Macaca fascicularis: one gene and its partners. The protein of the gene in region 3 interacts with the protein of the main gene of each other region in a pairwise test. Links are inferred from orthologs where the notes say so. Each region holds a gene or a part of one and is shown on either strand. Other genes may lie near its edges.

The links.
Region 1: the proteins of ALAS1 (region 3) and ZMAT1 interact in a two-hybrid assay, tested with the Homo sapiens proteins (2 studies listed by BioGRID). The two-hybrid records come from large-scale screens. The link is inferred for Macaca fascicularis from reciprocal best matches to the Homo sapiens genes ALAS1 and ZMAT1.
Region 2: the proteins of ALAS1 (region 3) and DUSP19 interact in a two-hybrid assay, tested with the Homo sapiens proteins (3 studies listed by BioGRID and IntAct). The two-hybrid records come from large-scale screens. The link is inferred for Macaca fascicularis from reciprocal best matches to the Homo sapiens genes ALAS1 and DUSP19.

What each region holds. Positions count from the first base shown.
Region 1 is NC_088395.1:108,508,233-108,513,632, forward strand, and holds the start of ZMAT1 (zinc finger matrin-type protein 1), read right to left. Parts: upstream 3,415-5,400; 5' UTR 3,396-3,414; coding exon 2,858-3,395; intron 1-2,857.
Region 2 is NC_088386.1:78,639,449-78,644,355, reverse strand, and holds part of DUSP19 (dual specificity protein phosphatase 19), read right to left. Parts: intron 2,556-4,907; coding exon 2,403-2,555; intron 1-2,402.
Region 3 is NC_088376.1:115,284,692-115,289,598, reverse strand, and holds the end of ALAS1 (5-aminolevulinate synthase, non-specific, mitochondrial), read right to left. Parts: intron 3,355-4,907; coding exon 3,086-3,354; intron 2,381-3,085; coding exon 2,218-2,380; intron 661-2,217; coding exon 500-660; 3' UTR 370-499; downstream 1-369.

The DNA of each region.
Region 1 (5,400 bases), on a different chromosome or scaffold from region 3:
CACCATGCCCGGCTAATTTTTTGTATTTTTAGTAGAGACGGGGTTCCACCGTGTTAGCCAGGATGGCCTCCATCTCCTGACCTCGTGATCTGCCCGCCTCGGCCTCCCAAAGTGCTGGGATTACAGGTGTGAGCCTCCACGCCCAGCCTACCCACTGGATTTTCTTATGGTGGACTTACTATCATTCGACTTGAAACTTTACTGAATAGTATGGAGACAAATGATAGTCTTGTTAGGTAATTGCTACACAAACGGATTAATAGCTAAATAAAAAGCCAGAAGGTCTTCCAATCTAAAACAGGATGCATTTGATATATTTTTTCTTAAAAGGAAGAGGTAAATAAGCAAGAATTTTTTTTACTATGAATATACCAGAATGTTATTGTTGTGTGAAAATTTATTTTTGAGCCATTAAACATTTTTGAAAAATGAAAGATGAAGTGTCCCACAAAATCTCATAATTCCCTTTACTGTGAATTCTGAGTGTATATGTGTCTTTTCATATGGCATTTCTTTTCTTTCTTTGTTCTATTTCTAGTTTTACTGCTCAATGTCCCATTTGTAATCTTTGAAAGCTTCTAATATTCCATTTGCTAGTTTCTAATGTCCACTGACATTTGTTCATTATTCACCCCAAGACAGATGAAATCCTCAAGAATAACAGCTACAGTTCAAAATGGATCAGCAAATGCTTTTCCAAACCACTTTTAATCATCCTATAAGGAGTGGACTTGCAATAATTGAATCTTGACAATTCTTTGACATCTTTTAGAGCAATCTCTTAACTAGGATTTAAGCAAAAGATACTGGTACACCATCAAGTAACATTTTCCTTTCTTCTCCTTTATCCACCATCATAATTGACAACCATTTATGGCCTTTATATACATATAAACAAAAATATTTTGAGGCCTAATAGTGTTTGGAACAGTGCAATATATGAAATGTTTGCCATTTGTTAAGTGAAAAGGTGAGAGAATTGTAGTTTGGACTGAATAGTGAATGAAGGACATTTAGCTAAAATGAAATGGTAAGAGATAATTTTTAGGTTAACAATTATATTTGGTTTTTCATATGCCAGTAAATTTTCTCAACACTAACTCAACATAGATCTCATTATTCACTGAATGTCAGGTGGTAACTATCAGAACAGGTTTCTTACGATTTATGAGTTATTGTTCTAGTGCACAGCCATGGAAATGTCATTGAAAGAATATCAATTCAGAAATGCAAAATCATGGTTGATACTTTCAGATCTGAAACCAACCCTCGGAGTGTGGGTAGTTTTATTCCCTTATTTCAAAAATGTCAAAACCCAAATCGAGGGGGCATGGGGCCTATTCAGGGTCACAAAGTCCAGTGAATTAATTAGCAGCTGAACCTATGTCAACTGCATCACACTCCTATGCCAGGGTGCTCCTCATTTTACTGCCTCGCAATAATATAGGTAAGGTATTGCTCATACTTTATGAAATTAGCTCTCTGAAAGCCTTTACTATTTGCATATATTCAAAGATACTGCAAACAAACCAGTTACACCACCAGGCAAAAAGCCATTTTTTTTTTTTTTTTTTTTTCCATGAGATACTGGTCTTAAACCTTACTGTGAGCAGACGATGAGAGCCAAACTGAATTGTGATCTTGAGGCCTATATAAAACTGCTCTTGCCTACTAGCTGGTTATGGACATAAAGGTTGATATAAAAATTTAAAATCCAGATTTCGTGTTTCCATCCACTGAGGATGAATGAAGACACTAAATGGAGTCTTTCAAAGGTTGACTTTAGTAAGAGAGTTGATAAATAAAACATTACAGTGTACTTCTAACTTCCATATTTAATAAGTGGCATTTATGTAATGTGCCTATACAAATATTGTAAGGGATTTTTTTTTCCTACTTTGCCATTCCTCCAAAGCGAAAGGTGTAAAAGGTTATGGAATAGCACACAGGGACATATCATTGAAGAATGTGAAGAAGAGATTTTTATGGAATAATTTTAATGGGGTATCTTCCTAAGAAAAAGGAATTTATTTTCCTCTATTTTGGTGTCCACAATCTTTCACTTTGAAGGCAAGTCAGCAACATAAGGTAACACAGCAAATTCTGGAAATTACAAAATTTACGATGGCAAAATGCTTTACTGGGGTGCTCTGCAGTGGAATGGTCTCCATCAGCTAAGAACATTTCCCAAACTGCTTTAAAACACATTTCAATGGCAAATTTTACAGTTTGCTATTAGTAGGCTGTTTAAAAGTATACAGAATTTTGTGTGAATACCGCTTATACTGATACAGTCAAGAAATATCTTTTTATGTTAGGAGTAATATGTGTTGGTAGGTACAACAGAACTTATTAAAAGTCAAACCACCTTAAAGATGGACCTGTAAACCTTGCTTTACCAGGTCACATTCTCAAATAGCCAAAGAAAACTCTCCGAAGTGATTCCTGAAATCTGTACTTCTGTCACACTCTTCCTCTTTCCCTAGTAGAGTCCCCTCCACCAGACCTTACCTTCCTAAAATCCGACAGATCTTTTAAACCTATACACTTCTAACCTGCCCAAATTTCTAACGCCATCTCTCTGTAAATATTCTGCCTCAAGTTTCTACACTACAGGACGTTGAACACCAAAAGGGGGTTTACTCCCCCTTATTTCTTTGGCATTTCCTCTTTTATCTCCGCCCGTTTCTCCATCGGTCCCCCTTCCCTTATCCTTGACCCTCTTGGCCCACAGCACTTCTACTTTGCCTTCTCTTCCAAATCACACCTCAGCTTCCTACAGCACACTAAGGTGTCCTGGCTGGGAGATAAATTATGTGGTATTTTTTTTCCCTTCAAACTCCTGCTTCGTGAGTACCTGCAATTCTTTTGCCTGGGGTCCCCCATCCTTTACAGGTGGGAGAGGTAGGGAAGGCCCTCTCTGCTTCAGTCCATCTTGCACACTCGGGGCTAATACGGCAGGGCGGGGCGGGGCGAGCTTGGCCTTTACTGCGCCACGGCAGGTGGGGGGTGGGGCAGTGGCGAACCGCGCCCAGCCCGATCTCGCACGGGCTGAAGAGAGGCAGCGAAGGAGATGGGGCCGCCCCCGCACCCCGGGACGGGAACTCACCTTCTCTGAGGCAAGGGCGGGTGTCTACTTTAAAACTACTGCCCCCCCTCCCCGCCGCCGCCATAGTGGAGCAGCCAAAGCCGCCGCCGCCGCCGTCGCCACAGCCACCGGCAGGCGGGCAGGCAGGGGCGGAGGTGGCGGAGGAGGCAGGAACAATTACTGCCGCCGCCGCCGCCGCCGCCGCCTCGCAGGCGGTGTAGGAGGAGGAGGAGGCGGCAGAGACGGTAGCTTCCTGAGGGGAAGACTCCGCCGCCAGCGGGGTGACTGTGCTCGGCACCGCGGCCATCGCAGCGAGGCGCGCGGACAATTGCACTTGCGTCTCGATTCCGTTAAGCTCCTTTAGCCCCGCCTTCCGTTAGCCCCACCCCCTTTGTCCCTCTTTTCAACGCTTCAGCTGGAGCCTCGTTCTCGCTCCTCAGTCCACCAATCAGAGAGCTTTAGAGCCGCCGGCCGTTTCCCCCGCCCCGACTGCCTTGCGTCACCCCACCTCCCTTTGGAGGGGAAGCAATGACGGCCAAGGGCAAAGGGCAAAAAGCGCGGGATGTAAAAGCACGTGGGCTTCACACAGTGAGGCTTCTTTGGAGAGCTAATGTAAAACCAATTTAAGAGTAAAAAATATCTGGAAACCTATTGATTCTACGTCCAAAATATCTCTGCAATATATCTTCACCTGGCTTTTTTTTCTTTTTATTTTCTTTCTTTTTTCTTTTTCTTTTCTTTTCTTTTTTTTTTTTTTTTTGAGGCAGAGTCTTGCTCTGTAGCCCAGGCTGTAGTGCAGTGGTGCGACCTCACTCACTGCTACCTCTGCCTCCCGGGTCCCGGTTCAAGCAATTTTGCCTCAGTCTCCCGAGTAGCTGGGATTACGGGCATGTGCCACCATGCCCAGCTAATTTTTGTATTTTTAGTAGAGATGGGGTTTCACTATGTTGGCCAAGCTAGTTTTGAATTCCTGACCTCGTGATCCACCTGCCTTGGCCTCCCAAAGTGCTGGGGATTACAGGCATGAGCCACCACGCCCAGCCCCTGGCTTTCTTAAAGCCCTTAGTACAGAGAATAGAACAGAATCTTTCGTCCTGACATTGTTTTCGTGGCCTCTAAAAGGACTGCTTATCTATCGATCTGCCCATCTTAATTACAATAAATTCCTGTGAATTCAGCACCCAATAGAAGAACTGGAATATTACTGATATTTTAAATTACATCTTGTCCCCCAACCTCCCCTCTCAAAGAAACCAATATCCTGATTTATATTTCTTATTTCTTTGCATTTTAATATGTATTCTTGTCACATAGATATGTGCCTAAATAGTGTTGTTTAGTTTTGATTATTTCCACAAACATTTATATGTTTTTCTAGGTAGCATTCAGGGACTTGTTTCTGTTTTTTTTTTCCCTCAACCAATACTCCCACCTCAGCCTCTGGAGTAGCTGGGATTACAGGAAGGAGCCACCATGCTTGGCCTGGAACTTGTTTCTTTCACGCGCAACATTCTGTTTCTAAGATTTGTCTGTGTTGTTGCTTGTAGCTGTAGTTATTCACTGTCGATGCTGTAGAATGTTTCACCCTTTTCCTTATTGATGGGCACACCTCCTGGTGCATTTGTGCAAGTCTCCCTTAAGTATTTTCTCCTTTCCAGTCTTAATCCATTGCTGCATTTCAAGTACTCATGATGTATGGTCAGCAGTATGGCATCTACCCCACTGGTCTTCTTTCCTCTGATCTCAATCCCTCCAATCTATTACCATGTTGTCAGTCATCACTGGCTGTCCAGTGCTTATTGAACAAAGTCAAAAGACACAATTTTGCACTATTAGTATCCCCATTCACCTCTTTGACCTCATCTCTTTCCACTGTCCCCATCTCTCCCCTCTGCTTTTACTCTGATTTAGCAATCCCTAAGTCTTCTTAGATTCCTGAGAAGACCATGTTATTTCATGATGTAATGTTATTGTATATGTTCTCTCTTCCTGAAACACCTTTTTCCCCACATTAAGCACTTGCCTAATGAAATCCTATACACCCTTAGAAACCCAGACAACACCTCACCTCACCAGGTAACCTGTTCTGTCCTTCCTTAGAGTTAATTTCACCTTCTGTGCTACACCTATATCTGGTGCATTTTTTTATTGTAATGAATTATATACTTTGTACTTCTCAATAACCTGGGACCATTTGAGACAAAAGACAGTGTCTTGTTTTAGGTGACTCATGCTCCAGGCCAGTAAAGTCCTAGGACAGAAGTTGAAAGGTAGGGATCCCTAGGCCCAGGTCTCTAAGTCCCTACATCTGG
Region 2 (4,907 bases), on a different chromosome or scaffold from region 3:
ATAACCCAGAATTGTGGGGTTGGTTATATCCCCACTGGCAAACTTTGGCCAATGGGAAACAGAAGCTGACAGGAAGCCAGGCAGATAAATTCTCTCTCCTTCCTCCCTCCCAGGCTGGGTTGAGGTACAGTTTCTTGGTACTGCCTGTCCAGAGATATTTTGGGTGGTAGAGTAGCTATACCTGCTGAATAGCCAACAGTCAGCTCACTGTGCAATGAGCCCAGCAGGGTAAATGCATCACTTTGTATTCCTTCTCGTCCCACCTTGAATCACTTTCCTTTCTTGCCACTCTCACTGCCTACAGATTGTACCTCTCAAATTAAGCATCAGCTCTAAATCCTCATCTCAAGCTTTGTTTTTAGGAAACCCAAGCTAAAATCCACTCTAATTTACTGGCCCAAATTAAGGCAAACTTTATTTTTAAATTTATTTAAAATTCCACACTTATTAGAATATTCAATCTCTTGCTTTTCTTTCTAGATAGTATTACCCTGTCTAATTTTTACTTGCAATATTTACATCTCTTCTAATGTTAATATGAATATGGATGACATCTACACTTTCCCATCTCTGGCATATTCTACATCTCCTTAGAGAAGGAGCTAATACAGAAATATCATTTTTATTTTTAAAACTATTAACTCACACACTGGAATGTTACAATCCAGAGCCTGTAAATTTTTTCACAAGAAAACAGAATGGCCAATATTAGGCTTTGAATTAGAAGACCTCTTCCTTGGCCACGTGCGGTGGCTCACGCCTGTAATCCTAGCACTTTGGGAGGCCCTGGCGGGCAGTCTGCCTGAGCTCAGGAGTTCGAGACCAGCCTGGGCAATACAGTGAAACCCCGTCTCTACTAAAATACAAAAAATTAGCCAGGTGTGGTGGTGTGCACCTGCAGTCCCAGCTACTTGGCAGGCTGAGGCAGGAGAATCACTTGAACCCGGGAAGTGGAGGTTGCAGTGAGCTGGAGTTTGCAGTGTGCCGAGATCATGCCACCATACTCCAGCCTCATGACAGAGCGAGACTCCGTCTCAAAAAAAAGAAAAACCACAAAAAACAAACAAACAAAAACCCTCTTCCTTTGCTTCCATTCAAATACAGTCATGCATCATTTAACAGTGGTGATGCATTCTGAGAAATGTGTTGTTAGGCAGTTTGTTTGTGCTGTAAACATCACAGAGTGGACCCACACAAACTAGAATGGTATGGCCTATTGCTCCAAGGCTACAGACCTGTTCAGCATGTTACTGTACTAACTTGTAGGCAACTGTAACACAATGGTATGTATTTGTGTATCTAAACATACCTAAACATAGAAAAGGTATGGTAAAAATATATTATTATAATCTTATGGAACCACCATCATATATGCAGTCCAAACATCATTATGCAGCGCATGACTGTATCTGCTATTAAAGTTGATGAACAGTAGAATGGAATAGTTTTATATTTTCCAGGTAGTCTAGTGGAAAGGTAAGTAGAACAGTGCTAGGCACCTAAGGCATTCAATAAATATTACCAAATGAAAGGAAAGAAGGGAGAGAGGGAGAGAAAATGGGAAGGAGAGAAGGTAGAAGGGAGAGAAGGTAGGCCAGAGTTCAATTAAACCTGATTGTAATCTTGTCATTGTTAGGTGTTCCAGAAGAGTTATTTCTCTCTGTAAATGCTTCTACTTTCCCACCTACGTATCTTACGTAAAATCTGTGAGAATTATTTGCTGACTAAAAATGATGCTATTTCAAGGAATAATTATTGATAACAGCCAACCTAGAAACTTTGCCTGTCAGAATGTTGACTTGAATCCAATAACAAGATTGAAGTACCATATGGCATTGGCCATTGGTCTTCTAACTTCAGAAAACCAACAGACAGCTTCTGATCAGCATTTTCATACAATCTAAGTAAAGCAATACACATTTAGTCCTTAGAGTGCCTTAAAATTTTACTGCTAAAAATGCAGTTTCACAATAACTATCTCATTCATTAAAATGAAATGCATGTTAATCATCATAAATACACTAACAAGTCTAGAGCAGTCTCTGTTTTATAGTCCCCCTGAATATCTTGCGGACTGGTCAGAGGTCAGGCGGCTATAAACCCTCAAAGGAAATCTAGCTACATGTTTACAGACGAAAACTCGGTAAGTAGAGGATTTTTATTTCTGAACATTTCTCAGTAAGGCATAGGAAAATGAGAAACTGAATTAATGTTAAAACTAAGTATCTTATTGAAAAAAGAGCAATTAACCAAATAATTGTAGGAAATAATGAAACATTGTTAGAAGGGAAATTTCATAATGGTTTTTTAGAGATTCATTATAAAAACAATAAAGATTGGGTAATGGATCCATACTTTCAAATTTCTGCTTCTGAAGAACTATGGATCAAAACAAAACTCACCTTTCTTTTTGCTTCTTCAATAAATTCAAAACATTCTGGAAAATAAGACAGGATGTTGGTTTCAGGCAGATCCAATATAGAAATGCTCTTATATGTAAAGTCACTGAGGAAAGCATTTTCAACTCCATATGCAACATTAAGAATATGAGTCACCTTAAAGAGAAAGAAAAAAGATGATTTTTTAAAATCCCATGAATTAGGTTATCTAAAAAGAGACTGGGGTGTTGTGTTGACATCTATAACAAGAAAGGTAAAAAATTTAAATGCGACTCACTTGATTGATAATACTTCTTCAACCCACACCAGAAGTGCTCCTTCTACTATATGTTCTCTCTCTCTCCCCTCCACCCTTTTTTTTAACTTATTATTATCATCATGTAGAGACAGGGTCTCTTTCTGTCACCCAGGCTGGAGTGCAATGATGCAATCATAGGTCACTGCAATCTTGAACTCCTGGGCTCAGGTGATCCTCCCGCCTCAGCCGCCCAAGTAGCTGGGACTACAGGAGTGTACCACCACACCCAGCTAATTTTTTTTTTTTTCAGAGAGGGGTCTCGCTTTTTTTGCCCAGGCTGGTCTTGAACTCCTGGCCTCAAGTGACGTTCCCACTCCCGCCTCCCACAGTGCTGGGATTACAGGCGTGAGCCACCACACCTGGCCTATATATTCTCATAGCCCTGGACTTGCCCTATTACAGCTCATACCACTTAGAGATTGTTTGTCTCTTTCATTGCACTAGAAACTACATGAGGGTAGGGACCATGTTTAACTTAGTGTTATAAGCGAATGAGCAGTGAGTTTAGCAGAAAATGCTTAAAATCTTTGTTGAATTAATCTGTAAATATCCATATAAAAAACTTAAATAGGAGAAGTATATCAGTAGTACACAACTTCCCTTTCAAGAATTATTTCCCTATTTTCCTTCATATTCTTTACTTAATAAAATGGTTCTCCAGGATGACTGCACATTAGAGTCACCTGATGAACTCTTAAAAACTATCAATACCACAGGGTCTCATACCCAGAGATTCTGATGAACTAATCTGGCTGAAAAGTAAGGGGAGGGGTGGTTGTAAAAAATTTTCTTTCAGGTGGTACATTTGAGCAACCTCCTCCTCTTCCATCTATGTATTTGAGCCCCTTTTCTTAGAGGCCACCAAACATGTGGAAGAAAGCCATGTAGAAAGTCCATTAAGATAATCCAGAGGCTGAGAATCACTTGAACCCAGGAGGTGAAGGTTGCAGTGAGCCACGGTCATGCAACTGTGCTCCAGCCTGAGCAACAGAGTGAGACTCCATCTCAAAAAAAAAAAAGAAAAAGAAAAAAGAAAAAGAAAAAAAAAAACTAACAACTTTGTCCACATCTGTACTTCCCCTCTGCCTTCTGATTACAATGAAGGATGTGCTCATGCATCTTCAATAAGGCTCATTCCAGAATCTGTGCTTGGAGTCACAGTGCTTCCTACTTTCTTGGCATCTCCCTATAGTCATAATTCTTGCTTTTCTGTATCTTCAATTTCTTCTTCTACCATCAGCCTTAAAACATGCTGAAAGCTCTCCCATCCCCCCTCCTCACCTATAGCTCCTCTCTCTCTTTCTTTTCCCCTTCCCATCACTTCCTCACTTCTCAATCTTTTGCAATACGGCTTTGGCCTCCAATTCAAATGAAACTGTTTCCACCAAATGCACTAACAACCTCTCTGTCACCAAGTCCCATGAACATAATTTAGGCCTAATCGTACTTAAACTTTTGCAGTATCTGACATTGCTGACTCTCTCCTCCTTAAAACACTATTCTCTTTGGCTTCCACGACACCACCTTTTTGTTTTACCTTCTTTTGGCCTCTTTTGGATCCTCCTTTCCCACTGCAGACTCTTCTTCCTTTGATCATTCCATATAGGGTGATATTCCTCAATTTATCAGTTCTATGATAAGATTCTGTTATAGGCCCTCTTCTCTCTTACTTTATACATTTCCCCAGGCAGCTTCATCTATTCTAATGATTTCAGTAACTATTTAAAAGCTGAAGATTCCTAAATCTGTATATTCACCTCTATTCTGAACTTCAGACCCTACATATCTACCCACCTAGATGATCCACATCACCCAAAATCTAACACGTTCAAAACTAAGCACACAGTTTTGCCTTCAAAGCCTGTTCCTTCTACGCTGTTTTCAATCTCATGGAACAATAACCTTACTTAGTTACCAAAGAAAGTGAGACATCAGCCTTGACTCCTCCTTCTCCCTTAGCCCCACTCCCTATCCTGCCTCATAAGTAATCAAATTGTAAGAATTCTACCCCCTAAAATACCCCTCACAGCTATGTAATTCTATCTCCACTACATCTTAATCTCAGCCATTGTCATCTTTTCCTTAGATTACTGCAATAGCTTTATAACCAGTTTCCCTATCTCTAACTTGAGCAACCCTCCAATGGATTTTCCACACTGCTTCTAATGAGAAATCTTTCTAAATTGCAAATTTGATCCTGTTACATCTCT
Region 3 (4,907 bases):
GCCACTGGATACAGTAGGCATTAAGGAGGTAGCAGGGTTCAAGCTGTGGGAGGTTCTGCCTCTCCTGCTCTGAAGCCATTACCAGAGCTCCAGTACTTTATTCAGCTTATTCATTCCTAGAATACAGACTGAACTTAAAGGGATGATGACAATTATTATTTTTTATTTTAGAGGCAGTCTTGCTCTGTCACCCAGGCTGGAGTGCAGTGGAGCAATCATGGCTCACTGCAGCTTCAAACTCTGGCCTCAAGTGATCTTCTTGCTTTGGCCTCCCAAGTATTGTGATTACAGGTGTGAGCCACTGTGTCCAGTCAATGAAGAATTTTATTCAGTAGCCAATAGCAGAAAGAGCCACCACTTAAACAAGAATTTATTTCCAGGACTATGTTTTTACTATAGATTAAAATTTAATATAACTTAATTCACATATAAAGACAACTCTGAAGACTATCTGGATATGATAATGGCCTGGGGTTAAGTGGAATAACTGAGGTCATGCTCAGGCCTGAGCAGATACCAACTTGCTCAAGCCTGAGAAATAGGACTTCTCTCTTTCACTCATCACTTCAAAATGCAGTGGCCTCCTGCAGAAGTTGCACTCAGCTGAGGAATGCGGCTTCAGTTCCAGCCCCACTTGCTTCCACGTGACCAGCAGATTCTCTGAGGAGAAACAGTTTTTAAATATTAAAGGGAGTAATATACACAAAAGAAATGAATACATATGTCCACATAAACACTCATACACAAATGTTCATAGCAGCATTAGTCATAATAGTTAACAAGAGAAACAACCAAATGTCCACCAATAGATGGATAAACAAAATGTGGTAAATCTGTACAATGGAAGGTTATTTGATAACAGAAAGAAATGAAGTGCTGATGAATGCTACAGCATGGATGAGCTTTGCAGACATGATGCTGGAAGAAGGCAGACACAAAGGAGCACACGCCGTATGCTTCCACTTAGACACAAGGTCCAGAAAAGGCAAATCCACAGAGACAGAAAGACCCGTGGTTGACAGGGGCTGGGGATGGGGAAAAGAGGAGTGACTCCTAATGGGCACCGGCTTCTGAGGCGATGAAAATGTTCTAGAATCAGATAGAAGAGATGGTTGCATAACACTGGGAGTGTATTTAAAAATCATGGACTTGGATACTTTTAAGGGTGAATTTTATGGTATGTGAGTTATCTCTCTATTGAGATAAGGCTTTTATAAAAATTTTAAGGCTTTCATAAAAATAAATAAAGAGAAAAATAAAACCCCGAGTTGGGCTTGATTTCACAGACCTGTAGGGAAGAAGCTGCTCCAACACTGCCACATGACAGTTTAAACCCAGCATTTCCAATAGAACAGAGAGCCCATGAGGAAGCTGAGCCATGCTGGGTGGGCTTGGGAGGGCAATGTACCTTTGAGGCAGAGGTGACCTGTGGCTAACAGCCCCCTTCTGTCTCTGCCTTTAGGTTGGACATGGGTGGGGCAGTATAGAAGCACGGGGCAGTTGAAAATGTTGAGCAATTCCTCTTATCAGAGGGGATTACGTGTGGGGTTATTCAAGGATTATACAACGTCATGGAGTAGAGGGCAGTGGCGAAGACAAATGTGAGCTGGACTCTGGGGGACCAGCAGGGACTCAAGCCTTCAGAGGCCTCTTCTCCCTGCAAGTCATTACCGTGTATCCTTCAGCCATGTAGACAAGGGGGCACTGGGAACACTGAGCAGACTCCCAGGCTCCCTCAGAGCTCCCAAAATGACGCTCCACCCTCTTGATGTGAATCAGACAATAAATATCGTTTAGGGTTTTGAACCATTTGAGGGCATGCTTAGTTACTGGGAAAAAGAAGAAACAGGCACCGTGGCTCACAGCTGTAATCCCAGCACTTTGGGAGGCCGAGGCGGGCGAATCACGAGGTCAGGAGATCGAGACCATCCTGGCTAACATGACGAAACCCCGTCTCTATCAAAAATACAAAAAATTAGCCAGGCGTGGTGGCAGGTGCCTGTATTCCTAGCTACTCAGGAGGCTGAGGCAGGAGAATGGCGTGAACCCGGAAGGCGGAGCTTGCAGTGAGCCAAGATCACGCCACTGCACTCCAGCCTGGGCAAAAGAGTGAGACTCCATCTCAAAAAAAAAAAAAAAAAAACCTAAAAAAAGAAGAAGAAACAAATCTGAATGCCTCTGAAGGGCTTCAATTATAAACACTGCAAAGGTACTCACCAAGGAAGTAGTTCATCATCTGGGGTGTGTGGTGAGGGGTAGGGGCGATCCGTAGGAGCTCTTCTCCCCGGGGCACGGTAGGGTAATTGATTGCTTGCACATAGATGTTATGTCTGCTCATTAGTTCATCACAGACTTCCGTGTTTTTAGCAGCATCTGCAACCTAAGTTCAATGAGAGCAGAAGGTAAGGTCACAACAGGAAGGACTACCTCTTAGCAGAGATTCTAACGAACACAGTCCCCACAACACTCAGGCTCAAGACCAGACTGTAGCAACATATGCAAGCTTGGGGCAGAGGGAAAGCGCTGCCCAAACACCTGTCATTTAAAAGGAGCCAGTGTTGTTTTGTGAAGACCAGAGAACCAAAACCTTATTAAAAAGAAATACATTTTTAATGAGAAAACACTGGTTCCATTCGTACCAGCAGACTCTCATACCCAGGATGTATAATCTAGATTCGGTTATACTAGCTGTATTCATTACACTAATTCAACTGTGACATCAACAGTGCTACCATTTGTAGTGGGAAGGGCAAAACCTATTTTGAAATTTACTAAGTAGAAAGCCATACTTCAAAGCTGGCCAATCTCAGGCTTCTGGAGCTTTCCAGATACAAGCTCTGTGTTTACCCTGTTAAGGTCAGTGCTCTGGAGAGGGAACTTCTGCCCCAGCCTGCTGGGTTCAAAGGCTTTCTTCTCATGGTGAAGTCAGCCAATGGCGGAAACATGACAGAGGGTGGCTGGCTACAATCCCTCCCTGGCAGTCACCCTGCTCAAGCCCAACTTCAGGAAGGTATGAAGCAGAACATCCGTACATCATGTGTAGAGGCACAGCCCACAGCAAGTCCAATCAGAGACACGCCATTACCCGCACAGGGATGATGTGGCTGGGGCAGTGGACAACAGGGAGGCCGGCATCCATTAGCATCTGTCTCATGAGCTTAACGTTGCGCTGGTGCTGGCGGCGAAGCGCCCGTCCCTCAGCGCTCTTCAGGATCCGCACAGACTCCAGGGCTCCAGCCAGCAGCATGGGTGGCAGAGAGGTGGTGAAGATGAAGCCAGCAGCATAGGACCGTACCGTGTCAATCAGAGAACTCGTGCTGGCGATGTACCCTCCAACACAGCCAAAGGCTTTGCCTGGGAGGAGACAGCTTCATTAATTACAGCAACAGCCTCTAAATGGACATAGCAAGGTGTTGTAGAGCCTCAAAGCACTGACTTTTCTCCTTATCTTCTTAATTTGTTTCCGGACTGATTGGTGTAGTCATGCACCACATTAATGATGTCTCAGTCAATAACGACCACATATATGATGATGGTCTCATAAGATTATAATACTGTATTTTTACTATACCTTTTCTATGTTTAGGTATGTTTAGATACACAAATACCATGGTGTTGCCTACAGTATCCAATACAGTAACATGTTGTACAGGTTTGCAGCCTAGGAGCAACAGGCCATACCACAAAGCCTAGGTGTGCAGTAGGCTATACCATCTAGGTTTATGTAAGTACACTCTATGGTGTTTGCACAATGATGAAATTGCCTAGTGATGCAAGTCTCAGAATGTATCTCCCATCGTTACACAATGCATGACTATAAAAGGATATCTAATCATCCTTTTTTTTTTAGAGACAGGGTCTTGCTCTGTCACCCAGGCTGGAGTGCAGTGGGATGATCATAGCTCTCTGCAGCCTCAACCTCCTGGGCTCAAGTATTCCTTCCACCTCAGCCTCCCAAGTAGCTGGTACAGGTGTACATCACCATGCCTGGCTAATTTTTTAAATTTTTATTTTGTGTAGAGAGGAGTCCACGCTTCGTTGCCCAGGGCTGGTCTCAAACTCCTGGGCTTAAGTGATCCTCCTGTCTCAGCTTCCCAAAGTGCTGGGATTACAGGTGTGAGCTATTGTGCCTGGCTACTCATTTTTAAAAGGGTAAAAAAGCTAAGGAAGGTTACAAAAGGGTCTTGCCCAAAGTCATATGGCCAAGCTGGTGTCTAACCAGGATCAAAATGCAGGTCTTCCAATCAGACCTGACACCTCAGTGGGTCCCAGTGTGCCCAAATACCCTGCTGCTGCCTCCCTTCCCACCATCTCATTCTCCTTTCCCTTTCTCACTCGGGCTTGCTGCTCTGACAGCCAGCACAGCTCCACTCCCCACGTCTGCACTGCATGTGCTCTTTGGAACAAGACTGGCTCTGCAGTGCTTGCACCATCTTCCCACTGCGAACATTATCCCAGAGGCTGGAATTTTACCCAGCTAAGGCGTTAACTGTTTTGGTGTGACTGGTGTTATTTCCTACTTAGTTAAGAACAAAACTCTGGACAATTAATGCATTTGCTAGACAAATATGAAAACTCAGAGCCTGTTAGGATTGATTTAGGGCCAGACTTGGTTTTCAATTCTCACTGAGTCCTTTTGTATAATCTGCATCTCAAGTTTCAGGATTAAAAACTCCAGAAGAGGCCAGGTGCCGTGGCTCACACCTGTAGTCCCAGCACTTTGGGAGGCCGAGGTACGCAGATCACTTGAGCTCAGGAGTTAAGAGACCAGCCTGGCCAACATGGTGAAACCCCATTTCTACTAAAAATACAAAAACTACCCAGGCATGCTAGCATACACCTGTAGTCTCAGTTATTCAGGAGGTTGAGGTGGGAGGATCACTTGAGCCCAGGAGGTGGAGGCTGCA